Linked DNA regions of Macaca mulatta. The protein of the gene in region 2 purifies or fractionates together with the protein of the main gene of each other region. This does not show direct contact. Links are inferred from orthologs where the notes say so. Each region holds a gene or a part of one and is shown on either strand. Other genes may lie near its edges.

Region 1 (4,332 bases), on a different chromosome or scaffold from region 2:
TGTAGCCAGCTGATCTATGCTTCTGTTAACAACTATGGATACAGTACTAACCCTCCATGGTCTCTGTGAGCCGGTCTGCCACTTTCTTCACAACAGCTGACATTGTCAGTTTGCCATTCAACAGAAGCTCCTCAACGATCAGTTCTCCAGTGTCACTGTACAGAGTTTTGGTAGTATAGATGTACCGGGGATATCTAAGCATTCGCAATACCCGGCTGCACTGGGCTTCATACTCCACCACACCACGTTTGTGCACTTGGTAACTCACCAGGTTATGCTGGATGAGGACACACAGGGCTTTTTTCACCTAGATGGGACATAAAGAGAAGAGAGGAAAGACCTGAAGATATAGCTCATTACTGCTGGAAATTTTTTGTCCAACAACTTACTAAGCATCAGAAAATGGCTAGATAATTTCTGCACTTATTTTCTCTCCATTGGAGTAGCTAATAAGAATCAGACATCAATACAATAAATCAGGAAGATTCCTTGCTATATTTACTCTGATCCTTATCTTTCTTTTTTTTTTTTTTTTTTTTTTTGAGACGGAGTCTTGCTCTGTCGCCCAGGCTGGAGTGCAGTGGCCAGATCTCAGCTCACTGCAAGCTCCGCCTCCCGGGTTCCCGCCATTCTCCTGCCTCAGCCTCCCGAGTAGCTGGGACCACAGGCGCCGCCACCTCGCCCGGCTAATTTTTTGTGTTTTTTTTTTTAGTAGAGACGGGGTTTCGCCGTGTTAGCCAGGATGGTCTCGATCTCCTGACCTTGTGATCCGCCCGTCTCGGCCTCCCAAAGTGCTGGGATTACAGGCTTGAGCCACCGCGCCCGGCCTGATCCTTATCTTTCAAAACACAATTTACTTTCATCATTCTCATTCCTTAAAGGCAGTACTGAGATTAAAAGACCTATTGTGAATAAACGAGGTATGGCATGGGAAGAGCAAAGATTTGCCTAAAAGCTGTCATGAACTAGGAACACTTTGAGAAACAAAATGTTGATGCCTAAGTCCCATCCTTTTCTTCCCCAAATAACATTGTTCTGCTCCCAGGGCAGGTTTTCTTCATTTTTCCCTTTCTGGGGTGAGAAGAACAATATTCAAAGATGGGTGAGATAAATTAGTGAAATGACAGAAAATTAATGTCATTTAGACATACCTGATCCAGTGATGTTCCTGTGTCATGAGCAATTACTCTTAGTGGCTGGCTGCCGGTTCTTATCAGATGGACTCCAATTTTTTCTACAATCTCTCCAAAATGCTCTTGCAGCAACAAAGAACAGAGCTTAATTTCTGCTTGAGTCATGGTACTGGGGAGTCTGAGAGCTAGGGAAAAAACACCAAAACGGTACAATGGAAAGTCTTTCATGCTGGAAGCAGAGCTGCTGAGTGTAAATTCATGTATTCTTTCTGGAGGGCAATTTGACAATACATATCAAAAAGCCTTAAAAATCTTGCATATGTTTGAAACAACAATTTCTTTTTGGATATTGTATCCAAGGAAAGAATAAAAAGCTAATAATAATGAAGTCATTAGTTCTCTCTATAATACAGACTTACTGGAAGCAATCTGACGTCTAACAATAAATGATGGCATACCCATACAATGGCATACTATGCCAACAAAGTTATTTAGTACCATGTGTATTCGTGTAGAAGAAAATTATTCATAATAGGCTGGCGCTGTGGCTCATGCCTGCAATCCCAGCACTTTGGGAGGCCGAGGTGGGCGTATCACAAGGTCAGGAGTTTGAGAACAGCCTGGCCAACATAGTGAACCCCTTCTATACTAAAAATACAAAAAAAATTTAGCTTGGCGTGGTGGCGGGCGCCTGTAATCCCAGCTACTTGGGAGGCTGAGGCAGGAGAATCGCTTGAAGTGAGGAGACGGAGGTTGCAGTGAGCTGAGATCGCGCCACTGCACTCCAACCCGGGCAACAGTGCGAGACTCTGTCTCCAAAAAAAAAAAAAAAACAAAAAAAAAGCAAAAAGAGGAAAATTATTCATAATATATTAAGTGACAGAAGCTGAAAAAATATAAAGATTCAATTATTGTAAAAAAAGGAAAAATGTATGCATAGAAAAAGACTGTGCATCAAATATACCTCTATGGGATTATGCATGATTCTGATTTTCTTTAAAGATTGGGAGTAGATGATTTTGCAGTCTGTCACAGACCTTAGTTTCTACACTTCATTGCTTGGAAGAATTAAGGTCACTGTTCACAGCCCGGTGGAAGTGAGCAGGCAGTGTTATTCTTAGTTCATAAAGGAAATGATAATTTCGAAAAAGAAATTTAGGCGGTAAAGGACTGCTTCTCAACAGGGCGTGTCAAATAGGAGATGAGGTTACGTTGTTTGCAGGACAGCATTCAATTCTTAAACTTCTACTCCTTGATAAAGTTGACACAATCAGAAACGGACGTAGTTTATTATACGATTACTTCCTTATTACAAATTGCTACCAAACATTACTTATTTCTTCCAATTCGTAAGAAGCCTTAGTATCACCAGAGACCTATTTCGTCCATCCGCGTATCTTTGGAGAAGCATTCCCAGATCCCTTGCCATCCTCGGAAAGGACTTACAAGACGCTTGGCTCCTAGCTCTACACTCCCTTTACACAGGTTCTCATTCCGGATTTGGTCTCTTGGTCCAGTCAGTGCTGCCACGTTCAGACAGCATTTTCCACTAACCTCAGGATCAGCGCAGTTCAGAGGCACCAACCCCAATGCTGCTGAACTTCCCGCGACGGCTTCCTGCGGCTCCCGCTGGCCTTCTGAGCGGAAGTGGAGCCCACCGCCCTTTCAAGGAAGAGGACGGCCACCGAAGAGGACGCGGAAAGGCAAAAAGCGCGTGCCGCTCTACGCTAGAGTTTCGGCGGCTTCCGGGGACGCTCTTTCTTTCTTCTCGCTGGAAGGCTGGAGGACCAGCGAGGGGCTGTTTGTGGAGCCGGCGGGCGGGAGGTTTGCCTTTCCTTCCTGCGCCTATTTGGTGCTGGGAGGCGGGCCGCAGGGTTGCTGTTGGCGCCGCCGCCTCTCTGGGTCTGGCCGACTCACGTGACCGACGCGGGCTCTGAAGCGGTGGGCCGCACCGAGGCGGCGGTGGCTACTGCAGCCCGGGAGGTAGCGGCCTGGCGAGGGACGGGCCGGCTGCCTTCTCGGACGGCCGCGGCGGAGGACAAAAATGGCGGAGGCTTCGGCGGCCGGGGCGGACTCGGGCGCCGCTGTAGCCGCCCACCGGTTTTTCTGCCACTTTTGCAAGGGCGAGGTCAGCCCCAAACTACCGGTAAGAGCCCCGTGTTCTCTGTACTTGGGAACCTCATAGATTCCTGGCTCTGATGTCCCGGAACTGGGTTTGGAGCTTTCCGCACACCCTTGACTCCCAGGACATCGGTCTGCCGAATACCTGCTGCCCACTTCTCCAGCCACTGGCCCTAGACCCTGGGCGTCACGGCTCCGGCCCCGTACCTCCTGCCCACCTCTTAATTCATCGTGGGCTGCTTCACCTGATCTCACCTCTTTACCTCTCCTGTCCTTATTATTATTATTTTTTTCTTAGCAAGTTTCCCTCTGATAACTCTCCCCTCAATTTTCTTGCATTCTTTTATACCTGGTCTTTTCCCCACGATGACCTCCCCCCATACTCCTTCCGCTGTGTCTTCTCACCTTCCTCTACGTTCTTTTCCACTTTTCACTCCCCCCGCCCCCGCCACCTCCCTTGTCAGTGAAGCAAAATAGCGGATTGCTGAGGATTGTCCCTATTCGGTTTTCTCTGGGGAAGGAAGGAAGCACAGAAAGGGGGTTGGATGGTATCTGTGAGGCGAAAAGGAGGATTTTGCTCTTCAGAGGTTTCCAGGGTCCTTGTGAAAGTGAAAATAGCAGCGTACTAATGACTTGCAGACAGCCTGCACTCCTATCACTATTGAAGGAAATGGCTTTAGGAAGAAGGCAGGACGTACTGTTTCAACTTCGTTTATTTTGGTTGTCATGTTGCTAGTGTCTTTAATACCATTGTTCCGCCCCCCACCCTGTCCCTTTCTTCACTTAAGAAAAAGAGCCGGGATAGAATGTTGGGGTTGCTACCTCCGACATGAAATTGGTTTTCACGAGTTTCTGCCAGACTGTTAGCTCCTTGAGAGGCAGTGCTGTGGTTGTGAAAAAAGCACTTTTGTAGGTCAGGCGCGGTGGCTCAGGTCTGTAATCCCAGTACTTTGGGAGGACGAGGCAGGAGGATTGCTTGAGGCCAGGAGTTTGAGACCAGCCTGGGCAACACAGTGAGACTCCTCTCTACAAAAAACAAACAACACTTACGCAGCTTATTAGCCAGCACCAGCATCAC
Region 2 (3,560 bases):
GTCGCCCAGGCTGGAGTGCAGTGGCCGGATCTCAGCTCACTGCAAGCTCTGCCTCCCGGGTTTTTACGCCATTCTCCTGCCTCAGCCTCCCGAGTAGCCGGGACTACAGGCGCCCGCCACCTCGCCCGGCTAGTTTTTGTATTTTTTAGTAGAGACGGGGTTTCACGGTGTTAGCCAGGATGGTCTCGAACTCCTGACCTCGTGATCCGCCCGTCTCGGCCTCCCAAAGTGCTGGGATTACAGGCTTGAGCCACCGCGCCCGGCCAGATGTTTACTAGTTCTTAAGAGCTCCCTCCATTTGTGCAGGAGATGAAGACGGCACAGAGATAGATACCCTACGGTTTCGTCTCCAAGTCAGATGCACTCGGAACCCCCATGCTGCTAAAGATTCCTCTGACCCCAACGAACTGTATGTGAACCACAAAGGTAAGTAGTGGTAGGGTGAGGAAGAGGCCCCACCTGTGGGTGGCTGCTAGTTTTAGGAACTGAAATCTTTTGACATGTTTTTCCTCCAGTGTATACCAGGCATATGACATGGATCCCCCTGGGGAATCAGGCTGATCTTTTCCCAGAGGGCACTATCCGACCAGTGCACGATGACATCCTCATTGCTCAGCTGCGGCCTGGCCAAGAAATTGACCTGCTTATGCACTGTGTCAAGGGCATTGGTGAGAACCCTGTGTTCCTTCCTGGGAAGAGGGGTAGTTTGGTTGCAGTGGGGCAAGCTGACTAGGGAACTCAGCTGAGATATTCCTAGCAGGTAGAAAGCCAAGAGCATCGTGCTTTTGCTGTTAGCAGCTTAGGAAGAGTATTCTTCCTAATCCTAGAAGGGTTTCGTATAGGCACTTTCTCTCTTCCTCTCCAGGCAAAGATCATGCCAAGTTTTCACCAGTGGCAACAGCCAGTTATAGGCTCCTGCCAGACATCACCCTGCTTGAGCCCGTGGAAGGGGAGGCAGCTGAGGAGTTGAGCAGGTGCTTCTCACCTGGTGTTATTGAGGTGCAGGAAGTCCAAGGTATGGTATTTGGGGTGCTGTTCAGGTTAGGACCTAAATTATATTTTCTTTGAAGGTGACAGAAATAAAAACCCTGGGTTCCTAAAAGTATAACATGGTTTGCTACCAAGGGGCAAATTAGAAAAAAGAATAAAAAAACGTGGTTTGTTCTCATTAGGTAAAAAGGTGGCCAGAGTTGCCAACCCCCGGCTGGATACCTTCAGCAGAGAAATCTTCCGGCATGAGAAGCTAAAGAAGGTTGTGAGGCTTGCCCGGGTTCGAGATCATTATATCTGTGAGTATGAAGTGGTGAGATGAGTGGGCAGTACTCTTTGGTGCTGCAGCTTCCTTCCAGTCTAGATGTGAAGTTTGAGTAACAGGGGCTTTCTACAGGCAAGCCCCGCCTAGGCTAAAGTGTCTCTTTGATCCCCAGTCTCTGTTGAGTCAACGGGGGTGTTGCCACCAGATGTGCTGGTGAGTGAAGCCATCAAAGTACTGATGGGGAAGTGCCGGCGCTTCTTGGATGAACTAGATGCGGTTCAGATGGACTGAGCTTGGATGTTCCTGAGGCAAGCTGAAGCTTTGGGTTCTGACTGACCCACCCTACAGGACTGCTGTACAGAGAGCCCAGTGTGACTAGGGATCCTGAGTTTTCTGGGACAATTCCAGCTTTATTTTTAATCAATACATTTTGTTAAATGTGCCATAAAATGAGACTTTTAGGCCTTTGTAAGGCCTTAGATGTAAATAAACTCATGTCCAAACAAAACTTTTTGAGACAACTTTTATATTTTTTGAGACAGAGTCTCACTCTGTTGCCCAGGCTGGAGTGCAATGGTGCAATCTCTGCTCACTGCAACCTCCTCCTCCTGGGTTCAAGCAATTCTCTTGCCTCAGCCTCCTGAGTAGCTGGGACTACAGGTGTGTACCACCACGCCTGGCTATGTGTAATTTTTTGTATTTTTAGTAGAGAGAGGGTTTCACCATATTGGTCAGACTGGTCTCAAACTCCTGACCTCAAGTGATCTGTCTGCCTTGGGGCCTCCCAAAGTGTTGGGATTACAGGTGTGAGCCACTGCGAAAAACAGGGCCTCACTTCAGAACTGGTTTGACCTTTAGCAATTAAGAACATCAGATGTACACTCCAGCCTGGGTAACAGTGAGACCCTGTCTCAAAAACAACAAAAAACACCTCCTGAGAATTGGCAAATTAAGGTGGTTTCTGGGAGTACAGCCAAACCCCTAGAAAAACATTCAAGCTAGAGTGAATGCACCATTTCACCTGTCTCCCGGATTACCAGGGAAGTTCATGCCGCTATTGACAGCTCCAACAAAGAACAGTAGCAATTCCTTTGGGCCAGGCCCAGCAGCCACATATGAAAGACACTGTGAGAATGGTATGGGCTGCCTAGTCTGGGTGTGTCAGGATAGAAATCCTTTTCTAACTGGCACACCATTTCAGAAAGCTTGAAAGACCAGGTTCATCAGTCACATTTCTTCCTGTTCAGTCCCCTTTTGCAGGGTGCTCATGGAGTAACTCTGGAGTATGTCACTGGTTTTAAGACTAGGTTGAAAAAGGCAGATGGGTCCCTTTCTGTATGAAACTGAGACTTTTACTGACATGCAGATGTGCTTTGGAGTTAATGTTTCTACAAAAAGTTTCTATAAACAATAGAAAACTTCTAGCATGAAGTCACAGGATGTTAAAAATATTACAACACAATAAATACAACTACACCCTCCACAGCCCCAACCAGACAGGAATAGGCAGCTATCAGGTTTGGAGGGAAACACTCTTGAGATCGCCTTCACAATCCACAGGAACCCAGAGCACCACACGGGAAGAGGGAGCAACATGAGACTCCAACTTCTGCTTCCTCAGCTTTGCCTCTTCCCAATCTGACCCTGCCTCTGGCCCACACCAGCTAAAAACTATAGCTTCAGTCCACTTCGGCTCTCATGGAAACCCTCTTGTCAGTGGATTGGTGGACAACAGGTCTGTTTTTGTGCAGAGCACATGGACACACTGGTTTCTGTATGGATTAAGTCTGCCTTTATGGCCAGTAATAATGTCAGGGCCAGGTCCCATATCCGAGTCCTGTTTATAGGGCCTTTCAGTGACCTCTAGAATGGACTCACAGTACAGGTTGTGATGCGAAGGCATGTATTCTTTTCTTTTGGAGATGGTCTTTGAGAAAAGTAACCAGGGACCTGAAAGACCATGAGATTGCGGAAGGCACCTGGTCTTAGTCCTAGAAGACCAGTGGCTTTGCTAGCTGCTTATCACAGATATAGCCTAGTTGGTCTGTTTTATCCTTGGATGACAATGGTGTCATGTGACACTCTCTAGGGTACTGTGGCTCTTGTGCCTGAGTGGACCTTGAGGCTGGGGAAGCCAAACTGAGGGGTCATTCATGGAAGGGCAAGATGTGTGAGCTCTAAAGGGGATGTTAGCACTAAAGACTGCCCAGCCCTGGTCCTTGGAGGTACTATACTTGACACTGTGCCAAGTTTAGCAGTAGCCTATACCATGCGTCCCATCAGGTGACCAGATTCTTGCCCAAAG
Region 3 (4,154 bases), on a different chromosome or scaffold from region 2:
CTCTTTATCACTTATTATTTATTAACTCGCTATCAGGTTATTCATTCAGAGTGCATTGTTTGCGTTTTTCTTGGTTTTCTTTGGAGGAGGGATGAGATGTGGGGGGCTACTGTAGTGAATAATACAGATATTATGGTCCCCACTTTAGTGAGTGTAGGAATCTATTGACGGAACAGGCAAGCAAATGGCAGTTAATATAAAATTAACATTTAAAAAACATGCATGGGTAACTACCTAATCCTTATAGAGAAAGAGGTGTGGGGTGGTTGAAAACTCTTTGCAAAGGGACAGAATGTAAAATCTAAGCTAAAAATTGATACGTGAGGAGAATTTACCCTTGTGAAAATATTATATTTCCCGGTAGAAGGAACAGCATAAGACTGCAGAAAGAGTGACCTGAAAGTGGATCAAGGGGCATAATATTAGGGTGGGGAGTGTGACAAATGAAGCTGAAGAGAGAGGCTGCGTGCCCACACAGATCACAAAATGGCCTTGTATAAGCATTTTTCAGGAGTTTGTGTTGTCCTAGAGAAAGTGGGGTGCCTATGTAGGGCTTAAACAGGGCACAACACAATCATATGTGTTTCAGGGAAGATCTGGCTGCCCCAGGGCGTCCTCCTGACCATTGAGCTAGGCTTCCACAGGCAGGGAGTCCTGTGGTTTTGTCGGCAGGGAAAGAGAATAGTGTCCAAACAGAATGATATATCCACTTTGGGCAATACAGGCCTTCAGGCTGATTTAATATTTGGGAAAACAAAAGAGGATCCGAGGCTGACAGGTTGGCTGTGGTATAATTCCCTGATTTAGCATGTGCATAATGAGGAGAGAAGTGGGACAGGAGAGAACTAGTAGGTTCGTTTTAAGATATGTTGCATTAGAGTTATCAGGCCTGCTTCTTAGGATTTCGTGTCCTGCATAAAATACACTCCATAAATATTTTGATTTTTTATTGTACAGTCCAAGCTTGTAAAATTCTACCAAACCACCTTACTACTGGAAATGATCAAAGTGAAAACCCCCCTTTTTAAGCTGCCTACTTAATCCAATAAGCTTCTGTACGAAAACACATATTTGCCTGCCCTTAAAAGAGCAGACAGTTGACTTTCCTGCATGCTCAATGCATATCCCAGGCTCTAAGCTCCCGTCCTCGAAGCGCGAAAATACGGTTCCCCCTGCCGGCCAGAGCGGCGTAATACAGCGTAAGGAGGAGAAATTCCTAGGGGCGTGGTAGTTGGTGGATGACGTAAAAAGAGCGTCGGGGACAGGCGATTGTGCTTGCGTCAACGGCGCGCGCCGTGGGAACCTTGACAAGCGGCATGGCTGCGGGTTGTTCAGAGGTGCCGCGGCCAACGGCGGCTTCTGATGGGTCTCTGGTAGGGCAGGCTGGCGTCCTGCCTTGCCTAGAGTTGCCGACTTATGCCGCTGCTTGTGCGCTGGTGAACAGTCGCTACTCATGCCTGGTGGCTGGGCCGCACCAAAGGCACATCGCGCTGTCTCCCCGCTACCTGAACAGGAAACGCACTGGCATTCGAGAACAGCTTGATGCGGAGCTCCTTCGCTATTCTGAGAGGTACCGATCTCTTTGCCTGTTCCTTCTTTTGTGCACGGGAAGTAGCAGCAGGTAGATATGCTGACAACGCAGCAGAAAGGGGGCAAATAGTAAAGGTCGCATTGCCCCCCCAGAGCTTAGCCCCGTGGAATTCTAGAGTCGCGATCCGCCCCTCAAGGCCAGTACCACTGTGGTGAAGATCTTTATAGGGTCCCTTTCATAGATAGAGAAGAAAACTTAAAGATGAAGTTCAGGTGTCGGCGGAAGGAGTGGAGATTCTCGCTCCAGAATCCTGGTGTAGGGGTAGGAACAGACCAGGGGTCTGGAGACCTAGTAGGCCCAGTTCTGTTTGGCATTCAACGTTTCATTTATCCCGTTCCGGATGATGTTTTCTCATTTGACGATAAAAATTTGGTTTGCAGTGCTTAAGTAGATTCTCATTCCATCGAAGATTGCACATGAAGCATTAGTACAACCGTTCTACCTGTAAAACGTGAAGCACGTTTTTTTCTTACTGTATTTCAATCTGGTAATTTCCCCATTTTCTCTTCTTTTGGACCTGAGTTGTTTTTAAGACGATTTATTCAATCGAACTAATGAGCCTGTTGCTTTTGGGAGAGAAAAAAACAAAAGGTATGCATTTATATTACGGTATTCAGAAGTGCCTTGAAAACAGAATTACAGAGGTGTGTGGCGGGGGGCGCGGGCATGTGCTTCAGTATTCCTCTGGACTATACTTTGGTTCAAAAGCGAGGTTCTAATACTAGAGTGAATGGATTCTTTAGGGATTCATGACTGCCCTTCAGGAATTCTTATGTGAAGTTCCTTGGGCACTGTATCGGAAGCTTTTATCACTTTCTTAAGGGATCCTTGACCTCCACACACAGGTTAATAATCAAGCATCTCCAGAATATACAGCTTCTTCCAAGCACCAATATACACTTCTCGTATGTTTATATTATATACCGAACACTTGAGATACAAAAACAAACAAAAAATGAAATCCCTCTTTCAAGGAGCTTTAAGCTGTAGTAGAGATACAAATACAAGCCAATAAATAGTAAGGTGTTAAAATTTGACAGAAATCTAACAAGATAAGGAGTGTTGAATTGGGATCTTGGGACCTCTGAGAACAACTTGAGTGAAGACGGTACTTTCCCATGGTAGCATTCCAGGCAAAGAGTGGCATAAACAAACGGATACTGGATGTGAACCGGTATGCTTTGCCCAGAGAACCGTATCTATTATATAAGTAGAATAAGGTTTATGTCAGGGGAAAGGCATTGGATGCCATTGGAGACGAGGGCAGGGGTGACTCAGAGAGGATGGCCATTTTGCTTTTCCCTTCCTGTCATTGCCAGTTTTTGTTCTTTTGGGGGTAAGGTGGGGTTGTTGTTGTTTTTCCTTTTGTGTTTCTGTTTTCATAGGCAGGGTTAGTGCTTCATCCTCTCAGTACCCTTTAACTCTGAGACTTGGTACACTTTTGAGAACGCAGTACTTATCTGCAGTTCCTGGCATATCAGATTTGCAGTTTAAGAAACAGTACTTGTTAGCCTTACTTAATGGTTAGCTACCAAATAGGATGAGAAAGTGGACAAGGAGAGGAATTAAGATCATGTTATAATTGTTCAAGAGAAAATGATTAGAGAGGATGGATTTGAGAGATTAAAGGATATACAAAGTAGTCATAACATCTGGAAACACAAGCAACCATCCTGTTTTCTGTAACCGTTTTGTATTGCCTGCATTTGACAGGCTAGGGCGGGAAATAACGAAATCTCGCGGAGTGACTCTGAACAGATCTGGCCACCACTCCTTTCATATTACTTGGATATGCTGAAGACCCCTGGTGAAATTATGCACCAGGTGAAAATCAGGCACCACACTTTGAACTATGCATTACTAATGAGGGACAAAACATTGAACATACAGTATTAAAGAACTAAAGTGAGGCTACCATCTTGCCCTGATACCTATTTAGGATGGTATCTGAAAAACAAAAGTGAAGAAGAAAAAGTATATAGTGTTGGGTGCCTGTGTTCACATATCTGATGACTCTTAACAAAATCCCCCTTGAATTTATATATTGCTAAATTCCTGAACAATTTAATATAGATTAAAAATATGCAAAGATGGCTGTGTGTTGATGTTAAGAGTTAAATTAGGTTCCTAGCTATTTGTAAACAGATTTGTCCTTTTATTCAAAAGTCAGAGCTAAGGATATTTCCTCATTGTACCGACTGTCCTGTACATGACAGACTCTTTTCTGCCCTGGCTTGTGCAAAGTTTGTGATAACCATGATTAGTATCACAAATTTCCAAATGTCCCCCCTCCCACCAGGGGACCACAGACCTCCTTCCAGACACGGCTTTGATTAGGAGAAATAAAGTCTTAATATTTGTTTTTCTGTCTAGTATGGCAGTTAATTTTTCTTCCTATTCTCTGACTCTGTTTTCTGTGTCCCTAACATTGTCTTAGTGATAGGATGATTCCAGCTTAGGAATGCCACATGCAGAAATGAAAACCTCAGAAGATTGCTTTCCCGAGTAAGTCTCTGAGTTAGGATTTTCCTAATTTGGTAGTTCTTAAAGTTTATTTTCTGTG
Region 4 (4,115 bases), on a different chromosome or scaffold from region 2:
TCCCTATGCCCAAGCCACACCAGCCTCTTCCACACCATGGTGGGTGTTGTACCCCTTCTTCTTTCTTCTTCTTTTTTTTTTTTTTTTTTTTGAGGCAAAGTTTCACTCTTGTCACCCAGGCTGGAGGGCAATGGCACGATTTCAGTTCACTGCAACCTCCGCCTCCTGGGTTCAAGTGATTCTCCTCCCTCTGCCTCTCAAGTAGCTGGGATTACAGGCGCCCGCCACCATGCCCAGCTACAGCTACTTTTTGTATTTTTAGTAGAGATGGGGTTTCACCATGTTGGACAAGCTGGTCTCGAACTCCTGACCTCGGGTGATCCACCAGCCTCAACCTCTCAAAGTGTTGGGATTACAGGTGTGAGCCACCATGCCCTGTCTGTATTCCTTCTTCACAGGGCCTGTGCACATGCCAGTTCCTGCCTTCAGGGCTCTTCTCTCCACCCAGCCCCTCCCACCCCAGAAAGGAATCCTCTGGTTGGCTCTACTTCACCATCAGATCTCAGTTCCAACCCCACCTCCTCACCAAAGCCGCAGGTTCCCTCATTCCAGGGGATGGTCCTTTGTTCCCACAGGTGTGTGAACATCTGTCCCTCATAGCATTTACCTCAATTTGTCACCACACCCTCAACTATGGACCCCTCTCATTCATATCTGCTTTTCCCAGCACACTATAGCTCAGAGCCTTGCCTCTGTTTCATTCAACAGACAAATGGCTGGGCGCAGTGGCTCACGCCTGTAATCCCAGCACTATGGGAGGCTGAGGCAGGCAGATCACCTGAGGTCAGGAGTTTGAGACCAGCCTGGCCAACATGGCGAAACCCTGTCTCTACTAAAAGTACAAAAATTAGCCGGGCGTGGTGGAAGGCACCTGTAATCCCAGCTACTCAAGAGGCTGAGGCAGAAGAATAGCTTGAACCCAGGAGGTGGAGGTTGCAGTGAGCCAAGATTGCACCACTGCACCCCAGCCTGGGCGACAAGAGCGGGACTCTGTTTAAATAACAAACAAACAAACAAACAAACAAAAAAACATAAAATTATGGAACATCTACTGGTGCCAGGCTCTGGCTAAGTGAGGGGATACTTCAGGGAAGAAGACAGATAAGTCCCTGCTCTCAAAGAGAGGGAAAGGAAAAAGTCTAAGATGGAAAGACTGATGCGACACAGAACACCTGGAAAGGGAGGACTGCCAGAGAAATGGCAGTGGGAGGACCTCTCAGCTGGCACTAAGGCACATAGGCACGGCGCAGAGATGGCGCACAAATATTGGCTGCTAGAATGAAGGGATGAACCTCCTGACAGTTAACTCTGTACTACTAGAACTGTTCATCTTCACAAAAACAATGCACTGGCCCAGAGCGGTGGCTCACGCTTGTAATCCCAGCACTTTGGGAGGCCAAGGTGGGGAGATCAAGAGATCGAGACCATCCTGGCCACATGGAGAAACCCCGTCTCTACTAAAAATACAAAAATTGGCCGGGCACGGTGGCTCACGTCTGTAATCCCAGCACTTTGGGAGGCCGAGGCGGCGGATCACGAGGTCAGGAGATCGAGACCAACCAGGCTAACATGGTGAAACCCCGTCTCTACTAAAAATCCAAAAAAAATTAGCCGGGCGTGGTGGCGGGCCCCTGTAGCCCCAGCTACTTGGGAGGCTGAGGCAGGAGAATGGCGTGAATCCATGAGGCAGAGCTTGCAGTGTTCCGAGATCGCGCCACTGCACTCCAGCCTGGGCGACAGAGCGAGACTCCATCTCAAATAAATAAGTAAATAATAAAAATAAAACTAAATACAAATACAAATACAAAAATTAGCTGGGCATGGAGGCGCGTGCCTGTAGTCGTCCTAGCTACTCGGGAGGCTGAGGCAGGAGAATTGCTTGAACCCAGGAGGCGGAGGTTTGCAGTGAGCCGAGATTGCGCCACTGCACTCCAGCCTGGGCGACAGAGCAAGACTCCGTCTCGGGGAAAGAAAAAAAAAAAAAAAACGAAACGAAACAAAACAAAAACAACAAAAAACCAATGCATGGCTGGAAGGACAGCAACATTTTATCCCCATTTTACAAATGGAAACTGAGGCCCAGAGGGGTTAACTTGCTTGCAATTGCAAAGTAATTTAGAATTGTAGAGTCTGACACTTCCAGTTACAACTCCCTTTTTTAAGCCCATTTTCTTTTGATCCCCTTCAACATCCTGTTTCACGGTGAACAGAAGTTCTGAGACATTAAGCCGCTTGCCCACGGCCAGGGCTTGGCATGACGGAGGCCAGGCCTGCGGCCGGTGGGCGGCGCTGGCTCTCCCGCGCCAAGGCCTGCCCGCGAGCCGTGGGCCCAGTACCTTGTTGGCCAACTTCTTGTTCAGCTCCTCGGCAATGGAGTCGTTGAGCTTCCTCTCAAACTGCCAAGGGGGGATCCGCACCGTGTCCACCATCTCCACCAGGACAAACATCCCGGTCTGCGCTGGGGGCTCTGGGAACGGGAGGGTCAGTCAAGCACCAGGGCCGGGGGCGGAGAGGATCCCCGAGCCCCTTGGTCCCGTCGCGGTCGCTGAGGCCCCCAGGCTGGCAGTGAGGCTGCACGGGGCGGTCTCGGGTGCCCGGTCCGGGCCATGCTCCGCTACTACAACGGGAGGAAACCGAGGCCAGAAGGAGGCGCTCTCTGTTCAGAGCTCCGGGTGCGCGCCCGCGCCGCGCGACCCCGCCACGCCACGCCCCGCACCCGCGCCACGTGCCGCCGCACGTACCGCGCACCACGCACCGCACACAGCCGCTCGGTTTTGCGTGGCTGCGGGCGAGATTCCGAATCCATCGCTTCCGGAAAACCCACCAATAAGAAGCCTCTGTCCGTCCGAGGCGCACAGAGCGTGTACCCGCGCACTGCGTGGGGCGGAGAGAGGGCGGGGGGGGGCGGGGCCTCCTCCTTTCACAGGAGCAGAGCGTTTTCCCAGCTCCCGACGGCGCTTTCTGGTTGCTAGGCGACCTCCGTGCAATACTGCCTGATTATCCCTCGCCTGGCCTGTGCTTTACCCGCCTTGCTGTCCTCCGCACAGCAGCAGAGTGATCCTTTGGGAACGCAAACATATATTACCACATCTTCTAAGTTAAAAAAAAAAAAAAAAACCACCGCAAACATAATATGCTTAGCACCCTTAAGTGTTCCGGAGACAAGGAGAATTGACAGGAAAGGAACAGTTGGGACTTTTCTGCGATGATGGAAATGTTCTGTATATTCTTTTCGGTGGTATAACATTGACGTATACAAGTGTCCAAACTAATTGAACTCAGGGCAAGATTTTTGCATTTATTTGTAGACATTATATCCCAATTGAAAAGTGATAATAGGCCGGGCGCGGTGGCTCAAGCCTGTAATCCCTGCACTTTGGGAGGCCGAGACGGGCGGATCACAAGGTCAGGAGATCGAGACCATCCTGGCTAACATGGTGAAACCCCGTCTCTACTAAAAATATACAAAAAACTAGCCGGGCGCGGTGGCAGGCGCCTGTAGTCCCGGATACTCGGGAGGCTGAGGCAGGAGAATGGCGTGAACCCGGGAGGCGGAGCTTGCAGTGAGCTGAGATCCGGCCACTGCACTCCAGCCTGGGCGACAGAGCGAGACTCCGTCTCAAAAAAAATAAAATAAAATAAAAAGAAAAGTGATAATAAATTGGAACAAAAAGTACAACCCATTGAACTTAGAATACTAAATCCAAGCCAGGGGTGGCGGTGCACACCTGTAGTCCAGTGATCTACAATCATGCCACTGCACTCTGGCATGGGTGACAGTGACACCCCATCTCTAAACGAAAGAGAAGAAGGAGAAGGAGAAGAAGGAAAAGAAGAGAAAGAAGAGAAAGAAGAAAGAGAAAAGCAGAAAGAAAGAAGAAAAGTCCAAAACCTTTATGGTAGTTCACATGGCCTTGCAGGATCTGATCATACCCCCTCCTATAGCCCCATCATGCTCTCTCTCCCCAACATTCCAGTCTCATTCGTCTTCACGTGATAGTTAGCATGGGCTAAAAGAATTTGGTAACTTGCCCAAGATCATGTGTTGACAAGTGGTAGAGATGGGCCCAGTCTGAACCTCACTACCCTGCCTTTAAAAACTGGTGAAGTGTAGA

The links. Proteins that work in one complex are often made in the same cells at the same time.
Region 1: the proteins of POLR1C (region 2) and POLR3C purify together in Homo sapiens (affinity purification with mass spectrometry; 5 studies listed by BioGRID and IntAct, counting the BioPlex papers as one, with this or other methods). This does not show direct contact. The link is inferred for Macaca mulatta from reciprocal best matches to the Homo sapiens genes POLR1C and POLR3C.
Region 3: the proteins of POLR1C (region 2) and POLR1F purify together in Homo sapiens (affinity purification with mass spectrometry; 3 studies listed by BioGRID and IntAct, counting the BioPlex papers as one, with this or other methods). This does not show direct contact. The link is inferred for Macaca mulatta from reciprocal best matches to the Homo sapiens genes POLR1C and POLR1F.
Region 4: the proteins of POLR1C (region 2) and POLR3H purify together in Homo sapiens (affinity purification with mass spectrometry; 5 studies listed by BioGRID and IntAct, counting the BioPlex papers as one, with this or other methods). This does not show direct contact. The link is inferred for Macaca mulatta from reciprocal best matches to the Homo sapiens genes POLR1C and POLR3H.

The regions. Positions count from the first base shown.
Region 1 is NC_133406.1:119,471,950-119,476,281, forward strand, and holds the start of POLR3C (DNA-directed RNA polymerase III subunit RPC3), read right to left. Parts: upstream 2,860-4,332; 5' UTR 2,171-2,859; intron 1,319-2,170; 5' UTR 1,299-1,318; coding exon 1,152-1,298; intron 308-1,151; coding exon 52-307; intron 1-51. Other genes in the region: E3 ubiquitin-protein ligase RNF115, read left to right, coding at 3,178-3,279. UniProt on the Homo sapiens protein: DNA-dependent RNA polymerase catalyzes the transcription of DNA into RNA using the four ribonucleoside triphosphates as substrates.
Region 2 is NC_133409.1:138,596,989-138,600,548, reverse strand, and holds part of POLR1C (DNA-directed RNA polymerases I and III subunit RPAC1), read left to right. Parts: intron 1-306; coding exon 307-426; intron 427-515; coding exon 516-668; intron 669-865; coding exon 866-1,015; intron 1,016-1,172; coding exon 1,173-1,289; intron 1,290-1,427; coding exon of another isoform or gene 1,428-1,546; exon of another isoform or gene 1,547-1,763; intron 1,764-2,585; exon of another isoform or gene 2,586-3,560. UniProt on the Homo sapiens protein: DNA-dependent RNA polymerase catalyzes the transcription of DNA into RNA using the four ribonucleoside triphosphates as substrates.
Region 3 is NC_133408.1:108,567,209-108,571,362, forward strand, and holds the start of POLR1F (DNA-directed RNA polymerase I subunit RPA43), read left to right. Parts: upstream 1-1,295; 5' UTR 1,296-1,316; coding exon 1,317-1,570; intron 1,571-4,154. UniProt on the Homo sapiens protein: Component of RNA polymerase I (Pol I), a DNA-dependent RNA polymerase which synthesizes ribosomal RNA precursors using the four ribonucleoside triphosphates as substrates.
Region 4 is NC_133415.1:9,959,063-9,963,177, reverse strand, and holds the start of POLR3H (DNA-directed RNA polymerase III subunit RPC8), read right to left. Parts: upstream 2,860-4,115; 5' UTR 2,742-2,859; intron 2,622-2,741; exon of another isoform or gene 2,468-2,621; 5' UTR 2,448-2,467; coding exon 2,337-2,447; intron 1-2,336.